Linked DNA regions of Sus scrofa. The protein of the gene in region 2 purifies or fractionates together with the protein of the main gene of each other region. This does not show direct contact. Links are inferred from orthologs where the notes say so. Each region holds a gene or a part of one and is shown on either strand. Other genes may lie near its edges.

What was found.
Region 1: the proteins of SMC5-SMC6 complex localization factor protein 2 (region 2) and SLF1 purify together in Homo sapiens (co-immunoprecipitation; 3 studies listed by BioGRID and IntAct, with this or other methods). This does not show direct contact. The link is inferred for Sus scrofa from reciprocal best matches to the Homo sapiens genes SLF2 and SLF1.
Region 3: the proteins of SMC5-SMC6 complex localization factor protein 2 (region 2) and SMC5 purify together in Homo sapiens (affinity purification with mass spectrometry; 3 studies listed by BioGRID and IntAct, with this or other methods). This does not show direct contact. The link is inferred for Sus scrofa from reciprocal best matches to the Homo sapiens genes SLF2 and SMC5.

Annotation. Positions count from the first base shown.
Region 1 is NC_010444.4:101,292,615-101,296,847, forward strand, and holds the start of SLF1 (SMC5-SMC6 complex localization factor protein 1), read left to right. Parts: upstream 1-1,433; 5' UTR 1,434-3,691; coding exon 3,692-3,898; intron 3,899-4,233. UniProt on the Homo sapiens protein: Plays a role in the DNA damage response (DDR) pathway by regulating postreplication repair of UV-damaged DNA and genomic stability maintenance.
Region 2 is NC_010456.5:112,031,282-112,034,781, forward strand, and holds part of SMC5-SMC6 complex localization factor protein 2, read left to right. Parts: intron 1-1,521; coding exon 1,522-1,619; intron 1,620-3,151; coding exon 3,152-3,239; intron 3,240-3,500. UniProt on the Homo sapiens protein: Plays a role in the DNA damage response (DDR) pathway by regulating postreplication repair of UV-damaged DNA and genomic stability maintenance.
Region 3 is NC_010443.5:223,558,976-223,563,070, forward strand, and holds the start of SMC5 (structural maintenance of chromosomes protein 5), read left to right. Parts: upstream 1-1,295; 5' UTR 1,296-1,430; coding exon 1,431-1,627; intron 1,628-4,095. UniProt on the Homo sapiens protein: Core component of the SMC5-SMC6 complex, a complex involved in repair of DNA double-strand breaks by homologous recombination.

The sequences.
Region 1 (4,233 bases), on a different chromosome or scaffold from region 2:
TTTTTTCCCTAGTAGAATTTTAAATTTACCCAAATGGTAATGAACATAACTGCGGCTGCTCTAGGCCTTCAAACACACACACGCAATCTTTCTCTCTCTCTCTCACACACACACATACACGTCTATCTCTGTTCCTAGGGATTTTAATATCTTAGCCATTTGAAGTCTGGGAACATGGCTATGGTTGTCCTGAGAGTTCTTCCACTTCCCAAACGTCTGATTAAATACTGACAAAATCTTAATCTACTTTGAGTACTCCATAGCAGGATTTGACCCAGAAATTAGATGGAGCTTGATTTTGGTAGCACCAACCTCTTTGACGAATGACTGTGCTATATCAAAAAAAAGCGGAAAAAAATTCCTTTTAAGACATTAGGAATGAAAATTTAAACTGAATTTACAGTGTACGTGTGACAGACTCTGCACCTCATGAACTTTTGGGCTTATGTTATTACATTATGCCTCATTTCCTAGAAGTACTTATTGATGTGCAAGATGTTCCCATTTTAAGCAAGTTTGACTAACCTGTATTGCAGGTGTTCCTACATAAGTTAATAGCTTGAGGTGCGCTTTTATAACGAGTTAGTTTGATTATGATTAAGTTAACTCAGTATTCTAAATTTAAATGAATTAAGGTACTTTAATACTTGTGTACGTTTTTATTGTGAAGAAAATTAGCCTTCAGTAACACAAATATGCTCCTGTTAGGTCTGTTTTCTAAATGTAAATTTTTCTTTTGCCTTATTGATTTAAGGGAAATTCAATTATATGATTTAATATTTTTTTGCTTCCCTAAAGCCTGTGAAACAGTCTTCGAAAAGGCGGTCAAGTATGTTATTTTTCATAATCACAATTCAGAATGCTGAAGATTTCATAATAGGTGTCGAAAATTTTCACTCATGTCTGAAAACCTTGCCTTTAAGAAAACCAATAGAATACTTTTATTAACTATGTGGTGTTTCTTTGATTCTTCTGAGATAGTCTTTTCACTATTTAAGCAACACATTTAAAAAAAATCAGTAATTCTATATAGACTGCAAAAAATAAAACCTAAAGAAAGTGAAGAACCTTTCTCAAAAATACAACTAAGATGGATCTTAAGTTACTCTTATAATTGACTCTCCTTAAATATGCTAATAGAAAATAATGTGCTGTAAAATGTGCTATGTACTATTTGTCACCTGAGACATTTTACTGCCTAAAAGTAAAATACCGAAGTTTTTAAATTTTCTTAGTTACTTATCCAAATTATCTTTTTTTTTTTTTTTTTTTGTCTTTTTAGGGCCACACTCATGGCATATGGAAGTTCCCAGGCTAGGGGTTGAATCAGAGCTGTAGCCTCTGGCCTACGCCATAGTCACAGCAATGCCAGATCTGAGCCATGTCAGCGACCTACACCACAGCTCACGGCAACACTGGATCCTTAACCCACTGAGCAAGGCCAGGGATCGAACCCGCAACCTTATGGTTCTTAGATTCATTTCCCCTGTGCCACAAATTATCTTGAAATTAATATTTTTGTTATTTTTGATTAAGAAAGCCCATATGAACTAATATAGTGAATCACTACTCCACTTTGAGGGGAAAATTATGAAAATTTTCTTTTTTGTAAGAAAAAAAAGTCACTCTTTAAATTGTTCCTGGAAATGCCTTGAAATTTTAGACATTGGTGTTATTTTTCTAAAATTCATTTGTAATTACATTTAAATATTTTCATGACCTTGGTATCTAAATGTCTTTCCACCCTCATAGTAGCTTCCTTTTCGTGCGGTGTGTTTTTCTTTCACTAGCTTAAGATAGATTGCTTTGTAAAATTATGTTGAAAGTACTCAACTAAGCTCTGAAATTAAAGTCAAAATGCTTTGTAGAAGAGACATGGAGTTTTTGTAGAAACAGATTTGTATCTTTGACTGTTGTGCCTCTTGGCAAGTCCTTTTCATACGCTTGAACTAGTTTCTTAATCTCTTAGATTCCCCAATAACCTAATCTGTATAAGAAGGGCAAATAACATGTAGGTTCTCAGGGAGATGGACTAATATATATATGAAGTATACAGACCACAGAATCCTTCTTGGTTAACCTTAGACCTTATACTCCTAAGTAACACACAGAGTTCCTGGGATACTAAAGCAGGCTTGGCTTTCATCCGCAGTGACTGATATCTTCTGTCCATTCATTCTTTTTTCCCTGAACATCATTCCTTTTACTCATCTTGCTTCCTTAAGGCCCCTTTATCCCAAAGCAAGTATCTTTCATCCAGCTAGTGCTTCGTAAGCACCGGATAGATAGGACATCTCCCTAAGCCTTCTTAGCCTCTAATTTCTTCCTCACCACAGTCACTTCTACTTCTCCACTTCTGCCCTCAACTGCTAAAATCAATCAGACTGATTATGACTGATTCTTTTCCCGAATGATGCCATTGAAATAATCTGTCTCACCATTAGAGACCTTAGTCAAATAATTGATTTACATATAAACACATGCACACAATGTACACTCATACACATCCCTTATTTTTTGAGGAATAGGACAGGCAGCAGGTACTGTATTTTTTTAAAAAAACTTTTTCCAAAGCTCAGCTGAATTAACTTAAGCTAAAGGCCTAATTTGGCTCATAGACCAAGAGAGGACAACATTCCTAAACTCCATTTGATGTTACAGCATTCAATGGCAAACAGGATTTTACAGTTTTGAGTACTGTGATTTGTGTATTGCTTTTGTAGCATTGGTTAAAATTGAGAACCAGCACTTTAACCTTTTTCAATTTTAGTATCGTTTACTTTACCAGTAAATGCTTTAGATAAATGAAATCATGAAAATCTTTCAACGTCTTAAATTCAAAATAGCAATATTGGTTAAATTCAGGCTTGGTAGGTTCTTTCCAGAAGAGAGAAGTTTTAATGCTGATTTACCTTAGTAGGTGTGAAATCAAAATAGTAGCAGGTTTAAAATCAAAATAGTTCATTTGAATAACAATAAGAAACCACTATTTTTCAACCTATTGGTCTTAAAACCGTGAAATATTCAGTAGCATGGAAAAATGACCATGATATAATTTTACATAAAAATTGTTACTAAATTATATAATCTAAATTGTTTTTTATGTTTTTTACACACACATAAATAAAACCTTCAAGTCACACCCCTCTCACCACTCCCAAATAGTGACAGTGATATTACAGAGTGAAGGAATTAGACATGATTTTAATCTTCCCATATACTTTGTAGTGTTTCTCAAATTTTCTATTATGTGTTAATTAAAGTTAAAAGACCAGTCAGTAAAATTTATTTTCGGGGAAAATTCTTAGTTCTTAAATGCAATTATATAAATTAAGCTTTTTTATAAATCCCTTATTTATCTTAGTAGCATACTTACTAATTTTTAGGATATGTTGTATTCTCACAGTTCCATAATACTCTGTGTCTGGTTATCAGACACTGTAATGCAGAGTATAAAAGTATCCTTATTTTCTTACCCCAGACTGCTTTCAGCATCCCTGCCCTTCTTTTATGCATTACTTCTCTCTTTCACCCAACTGTTACACTCTGCTCTTTCATCCTCCTTCCCAAACAAGACCTTTGTATTTATATCTACATTCTTGCCTCTATTTCTGAGTTCTCTTTTCAGCATATTCTATCTATGTGTCACTTGTAAAAAATTCATAGACCTAAAAAGCTAGTATATAATGAAATGGCCTTAATTGTGATGATGATTGCTATAGGTTTATTTGCATTACTAACTGGCGCCAACCACAGAGGAATTTCAGGCATCAGGGATAGGTCCATGTGGAAGATATTTTGGGAAAGTCCACACCACAGAGACAGTTGCTTGTTCTGCATAAATGCCAGCTCTTTTCCAATCGTTATCTCCTTGGTTGTGTGTATTATATGGTACAAGGTAAGTAACTAGATTTTTTAAAAATCGTTGCAAACTTTTAATATTCCAGAAAGAGCATGTTCTTGTAACTGAGAGTCTCATGTATATTTTTAACTTTTTGCCAGTAAAGATAAAACATTTAACTGTTAAAATAGATGCTTTTTTATTGTTTTCTTTTCCTGTTGTTGTGTTAGGATAGTATCTACTGTGTGAAAGCTTGAAGGACTGACCCCTGTAAGTTCTAGAAAAAAACTCTAATTTCCCAAGAAATACTGCAGGTACAATTATGTAGGGGTTTAGTTACTTTATTTCTTGTGTTAGACTACTAGCAATTAGCCCTTTATCCTCCATGCCTC
Region 2 (3,500 bases):
GTTATAAACAGTGTAAATTATAATATCATGTTAAGTTGTAATAAGTGCTACAAATTACAATAAAGCAGGACAAGGCAGGGATGCTCTGCTATTTCATATGAGGCAGTTAGAGCCTTTCTATAGTGACCTTTGAACAGAGACCTAAATGAAATGATAGAGTGAGTCACACATAGAAGAATTTGAGTTGGGCTTCTATAGCCATTGAGGGTAAACATGCATAATTTTTGTTAGTTTTTTTTTGTTTTTTGTTTTGTTTGTTTTTTTCTCTTTTGGCCACCTCACAGCATATGGAGTTCTTGAGAAGGCTAGGAATCAGATATAAGCTACAGTTGCAACCTACACCTCAGTTGCAGCAATGCTGGATCCTTAACCCACTGTGCTGGGCCAGGGGTCAAACATGTATCCCAGCACTGCAGAGATGCCACTGATCCCATTGTGCCTAATTTTTTTTCTTTATATTTTTCAACCTTTTTTGATGGAAAATGTCAAACATGCAAAAGTAAAAGGGTTGGCATTCCCATGGTGGCTCAGTGGAAGCGAATCTGACTAGGAACCATGAGGTTGTGGTTTTGATCCCTGGCCTCCCTCAGTGGGTTGAGGATCCGGTGTTGCCGTGAGCTGTGGTGTAGGTCGCAGATGCAGCTTGGATCTGGCATTGCTATGGCTGTGGCATAGGCCGGCAGCTTTGATTAGACCCCTAGCCTGGGAACCTCCATATGCTGCAGGTGTGGTCCTAAAAAGACAAAAAAAAAAAAAGTAAAAGGGTTTAATGAACTATTCAGTACTTACCACCCAGCTCCAACAATTACCAATTATCTCATCTGTTACCCTTATCTCATACTTCCTTTCCCTGCTCAGGGATTATTTTGAAGAAATTCTGTTAGATTTTAAATACCAGAATGGTTGAGAATTCCTGAAATTCAAGAAATCCAAGATCATGAATATGTATTATCTTATGCAGCTCTTGTTTTATACCTTTGGAACCTATTTAGATTACTTTATTCTTCCAAGGATTGTTTAAATATAGATACAGAGATGATAAAGGAGTTCTCATCATAGCTCAGCAGAAAGGAATCTGACTAGTATCCATGAGGACACAGGTTCCATCCCTGGCCTTCTTCAGTGGGTTAAGGACCTGGCATTGCCGTGAGCTGTGGTCTTGGTCAAAGTTGCGGTTCTGATATGCCATTACTGTGGCTGTGGCGTAGGCAGTGGCTGTAGCTCCGATTCCATCTCTGTCCTGGGAAACTCCATATGCCGCAAGTGCAGCCCTAAAAAGACAGAGAAAGAGAGATGATGTAGCATAAAACATGACAGCCAAATGAAATTCTGATAAAGGTATCTATTCAGTCTGGTACAGAAGTCAAGATAAAACTGAGTCTGTGTACTCCATGCTGTTTCTAAAAATGAGTGCTTTTTTTGTAATAATGCTTCCGTTAGGTCATGAGGAGATGTGGATGATCTGTTAGAGTTTGATTCCACTGACCGGTTTGAAAAATATTGCTTTCTGTTTGTTTTCAGGTGCCTGAACTCTGTTTGGCCATAAATGAACTCTCTAATCATCCCCACAACCTTCTATGGTTGGTACAGCTGGTCCCTAACTGGACATCACGTGGAAGGTATTGAAAAGTGAGAATTAGGAGTTCCCGTCGTGGCGCAGTGGTTAACGAATCCAACTAGGAACCATGAGGTTGCGGGTTCGGTCCCTGCCCTTGCTCAGTGGGTTAAGGATCCGGCGTTGCCGTGAGCTGTGGTGTAGGTTGCAGACGCGGCTCGGATCCCGCGTTGCTGTGGCTCTGACGTAGGCCGGTAGCTACAGCTCCGTTTCAACCCCTAGCCTGGGAACCTCCATATGCCGCAGGAGCGGCCCAAGAAATAGCAACAACAACACAAGACAAAAAAAAAAAAAAAAGAAAGAAAGAAAAGTGAGAATTAGACACTAAGAAAAAAATGTTTATATTAGTGAAATGCGTTTATTTATTTCTTGTCTTTTCAAGGGCCGCACCCAGGGCATATGGAGGTTCCCAGGCTAGGGGTCTGATCGGAGCTACAGCTGCCAGCCTACACCACAGCCACAGCAACGCCAGATCTGAGCCATGTCTGTGACCTACACCATGGCTTATAGCAATGCTGGATCCTTAACCCACTGAGTGAGGCCAGGGATCGAACCCAAAACCCCATGGTTCCTAGCCAGATTCGTTTCTGCTGCACCACAACAGGAACTCCCGTGAAATGCTTTTAGATCCTTTGTTTTCTTTCATCATTCCTTGAGTGTTAGACCAGAGTCTTTTATTTCATATTCAGCTGTGGGAAGAGACATGGACAGGCCTGATTCTGATATGTAACAAAGATCGCTTTCTTCATTTTTAATTTTAGCTTATCTGGTAACTTAATATAGATGGCATATCCCATGAAAATGAATCAATTAGCATTTTTTTCCTTTAATAAAAAGAAATTCCAACAATAAAATAGGTTTTCTAACAGTAAATAACAGAGTAAAAAGTAAAGGCTGTTGGGGAATTCTTGTCGTGATTAGTGGAAACAAATCTGACTAGTATCCATGAAAACACAGGTTCAATCCCTGACCTCACTCAGTGGGTTAAGGATCCAGCATTGCAGTAAGCTGTGGTGTAGGTTGCAGATGTGGCTCAGATTTGGCGTTGCTGTGGCTGTGGTGTAGGCTAACAGCTACAGCTCCAATTCAACTCCTAACCCAGGAACTTCCATATGCCATGGGTTCGGCCCTAAAAAAATAAAATAATAAAGGCTGTTGGGAGTTCTCTTGTGGAACAGCAAGTTAAGGATCCAGCATTGTCACTGAGGCGGCTTAGATCGCTGCTGTGGTGCAGGTTCGATCCCTGGCCTGGGAACTTCCGTGTGCCCTGGGTGCAGTCTAAAAAAAAAAGTAAATGAAAATTGTCAAAAAATAAAGGCTGTTAATGATTTGCTTGAGCTTAAAGCAACTCCAACTTGGTGTGAAAATATTTTACATGAAAGTTTTACTCTTCTAGTAAAAGCTTATATATTCTTATATAGCCTTTTCTTGAAACATTAGCTATGTTTTGAATGAGAACTTCTTTTGTCTCATTCATTTGCTTCTTAAGCAGTGTTGATTAAACACATTCTAAATACTTTAAAATTCTAATTCCAGGCAGCTGAGACAGTGCCTCAGCCTAGTGATTATTTCAAAGCTTTTGGATGAGAAACATGAAGATATCCCTAATGCGAATAATCTGCAGGTATAAATAACATTTTTGTTTTCTTTTAATAAATGGGACAGGAGAGCTCCTGCTGTGGCACAGTGGGTCAGTGATCTAGCTTGTCTCTTTGACTGTGCCAATTCTATCCCCAGCTCAGCACAGTGGGTTAAAGATCTGGTGTAGCTGCAGCATAGGTCACAACTGTAGCTCCTATTTGATCCCTGTCACGGGAACTTCCATATGGCATGAGCACAGCTGAAAAAGGATAGTGGGATGGATGGATGAATTAGTGACATGTAG
Region 3 (4,095 bases), on a different chromosome or scaffold from region 2:
GTTTCAAAATTCTTCTTTAATTTCTATTTAAAATTTTTTTGTGGAGCTCCTTGGTGGCTCAGCAGCTTAAGGATCCAGAATTGTCACTGCCGTGGTTACAGCTATAGTGCAGGTTACATCCTTGGCCTGGGAACTTCATGCTGCAAGCAAAGTCAAAATTTTATAAATATATATTTTTTTCCTAATAACCATGAAAATTTTACATGTTTTTCCAACTCATTTTTTCGTTGATTATAACTTTGAGAGCGTGGATTTCACTCCTGTGAGAGAAAGAATCAGAAACCTGGAAAAGGAGCATTGGTCCAGGAGTCAGAAATCAGGGTTCTACTGCCAGCCTTCCCTTTGTTAACTCCTTCCATGGTTTACTCCCCCAACCACAGCCTTTGTCTTTGCCCAGAATGCTCTTTTCTTATTTCCACACCTGGCTCTTTCTTCGCCTTCAGGGTTTAGCCCAAATATCACTCCCTCTGACAGGCCTTCCCTGCCTCTCCATCACATTCATTCTGTTTTTCTCTTCTGAGCATCTATCTCCGCCAGAAATTAGGTTAACTTGTTCTTTTTCTATCTCTCCACTCACTCCCTCAAGGCCACAACCCAGCCTCTGGTAGATTAGACATTATCAGTTGAGGAATGACACATAAGTAGGTCGCAGGAAGCTCATCTTAAAAGGGAGGTTAATTAGACAAATGTGAGCCAGTTTAAGTGGAACACCCTCTACACCATGCCAGGGAGCTCCGGGGTTTCCGGAAACTTCGAGGGAGGGAGTCTTAAAAGGGAATTAACGAGGGGATGGACAGTCAATGAGGAGAATCTGTGTGGTGCAGTCTTTCTACCAGTTGGAGAGTGCAGGAGACCATAGCGCCATGCTTTAAGAGAGAGGAAGGCATAGAGCCATTTGGAAGAGTTTCCTTTCTTTTCTTTCTTTTTGGACATGGGAACCTGCTTGAAAACAAAGAAAGAAGACGAAGAGGCCCGAACCGAGGGCAGACTCCGAGCATCACCAATGGGGTCTGACGTTGCCCACACGAGGTGCCATCACAAACACCGTCCTCCTTTCTCTCCCGGATGTTTCCTCAGAGCACTGAAAAGGCTTTCAAAATACTAAATGCAACTGATGTCTTTTTTTGAGTTAAAAAACAAAACCAAAACAAAACTTCTCAAAGTATACAGACATAGAGAAAAGTGACCGGAAGCAGCTTCCCCCAGCTCCACCCCCGCTTTCGCAAGGGTTTCGGCCTTCCAGGCCCAGCACTGGGCGGTGCGTGACCGCTGACGCCAGCGATCTCAACTACGCAGGCGCGAGGGCGGGCTCCCGGCAGGGGGTGGGGGAGTCGCGCGCCAGGGCAGGTCGCGCGGGAGCCGGGCGCTGGAGCGCAGGGGCTGCAGGTCGGTGGGAACGGAAGCCAGCTCAAGAAGGAAAGGAAGCCAGAATGGCGACACCGAGCAAGAAAACGTCTACACCAATCCCCCTGGCCTCCAAGAGAGCTCTCCCCAGAGATCCCTCGTCGGAGGTCCCGAGCAAGAAAAAGAGTTCGGCCCCGCCGGCGGCGCCGCCTCCACTGCCGCTGCAGTCTTCAGGGCCTTTCGTAGAAGGCTCTATCGTCCGCATCGCGATGGAGAACTTCCTGTGAGTGGCCAGAGGCCGGGCTGGGGAGGCGAGCGGGCCCTCGGGCTGGGGGCGCAGGCTGCATGCGTGCAGGGGTAGGTGGGTGGATGTGTGCCTGGCTTGTGGGTTTAACAGTAAATTCGTGCTGAGATTGCCGTCAGGAGTTTTATTCGTCGGCCATGAAGATTGACGTGTGTGTCGATGTGGTAGGAGTGTGTCTTGGGTGATATGTTTTTTTTTAATTCTTAACGCCAATGTTGTTTGAAGACGTCATATGGCGGGCAGTGGACGTAGTAGGGATTCGATCTCTGCCCCCTGGGAGTCACAGCCTGTAGAGGTAGGACGTAATCTGTAATTGGCAAAACTGTGGTTCTTGGGAACTCAGAGGAAGCAACAGTTAAATCAGAACGGCAGTGATGCCGTGACAGATTCGTGAAGAGTAGGCAGTTGCTAGGTGGACAAAGATGGTGAAGGTTTCCTAATGGAGGTTGAAATGTACCTGAAAATTAAGCCTTACTCTCAGTTATTGCGCTCCCAGAAGACCCTTGACCCTTTCAAATCTGGCTTTCTGGTTCCTTTTTTATCCCTTCAGACAACTAACCATAATACTCACTGTAGAATTTTTAAATATGTTTTAACACAAATACCGTGTATCTGTTTAGCACCTTAAAGTTCATTTAAGATTTATTTTTTTTTAAGCTTGCGCAGAGTAACATAGGGAAAACAGAATTGCAGTAACATTACTAACATTATTTTTCAAACATCTGTCATGTGCTATAGAAGTAGGTGCTTTATTTACACAATGCTCTCATTCTTTCCTGGTAACAACTCTTTATATTATTTCCATTGATAAGCTCAGAGGTTAATTTGCCCACGTTTACACAGCTAATAAGTAGCGGAATTGTTGTTTGAATCCAAATCAGGAAAGATAAATATAATCAAACGAAGTATTTGCCTTAATAACATATGTGCATCAGGATGCAAGGGGGGAGCAATGGCTAAAATGGTTAATTTTGTCCACAACTGTGAGAAGGGCTTTGTACTGGAGATTATGACATTCTTAAAAAGGAAGAGCATTGCTGACAGAAGGAATTACCTGAAATGGTTATGATTAAGAAGTTTCCAGTATTTTAATATGGTTAGAGCACAGGATGTGAATATGTGAACAGGGTTTATACTGAAGACAACTCTTGGGGGTCTGTGTTTCCTATGCTGAGGAATTCCAGTTCTATGCTGTAGGTTGCCAGGTTAAGTGCATGCATGACATGTGACATATTACTTCAGCAGCATTGTGAAGGATCATTTAGAAAAGGTGCAAAAGTGAAGGCAACAAGGCTTTTACAATACAAGGGCAGAGATGATTCAGAGTTTGACCCTAACGCTGGAAAGTGGGAGCAGAAAGAAGAGATTTGACAGGGTCCGGCTGCAGATTATTTGTGAGGCATGATAGTAAGGGAGGATGCAGCATTTTTCTTAAGTCTCTGCCTTGGAGAATTGGACATTTATAGTGGTATTCAGTAGAAGGAACAGTTTGGGGAAGATAATAAATGCCTTTTGGAACCTGTGACTTGAAGTTTCCTGTGGGACATCTAAAAGATTTCTGTAGGGAGGGTTTTTGGTTTTTTGCTGTACCCACAGCATGCAAAGTTCCCAGGCCGGGGATCAAACCCATGCCACAACAGCAACCCAAGCCACTCCCATGGCAACACCAGATCCTTAACCCACTGTACCACAAGGGAACTCCTATAGGCAATATTTCTAAGTGTTTGGAGCTTACTGGAAAATGTGAACAGGAGAGAGAATTGGAAATCATGCATATAAGTGGTTGTTGAAATTGCAGAAATGGTTGAAATTGCCCAAAAGGAAATATGATTGGGAATAGAAGACCAAGTACAGAGTCCTGGAGAAATCCCTGTATTTAAGGCCAGGCATATCTCACAGATTGAGAAGGAACTGTTCAGAGAAGTAAGAGGAGAACTGTGGGAGAGTATTATCAAAGAAGCCAAGGAAAAAGATCCAAAAACATCATTTGCTACTTTGAATTCAGATTACAGGAGAGAAAAGAACCCATGCATTTAGCAGTTAGGAAATCTTTGACTCTTTGATGAAGTCGTGTAGGCAGAAAACTAAGTAATAGAAGTGTGAATGAACGTGGGGAAATATAGCTTGAATGTGAAGAGGAGCAAGAAAAGGTAGTTGGAAAGTGCAAAGCTAGGTGAAGTTTTGTTTTATGTTCACAGTGGAGAGGTCTTTGAGGCATAGAAAACCAAAATGGCCAGAGAGAGTAGTCTAGGAAAGGATTTCCCAAGTCAAATGGGATTGAGAGTGGAGAGAGAGAGTGCTAGGCAGAAGGAATAGTGTGCACAAGGCTTAGAAAAAGAAGGAAGCATAAGGGATAGTCGAGAAACTGAAGGAAATTCTTTACGGATTGAATTTAGAGGTCTTATTAGAGCATAGAGGAAGAAGATAGTAGAAAAAGATGAGTTAGA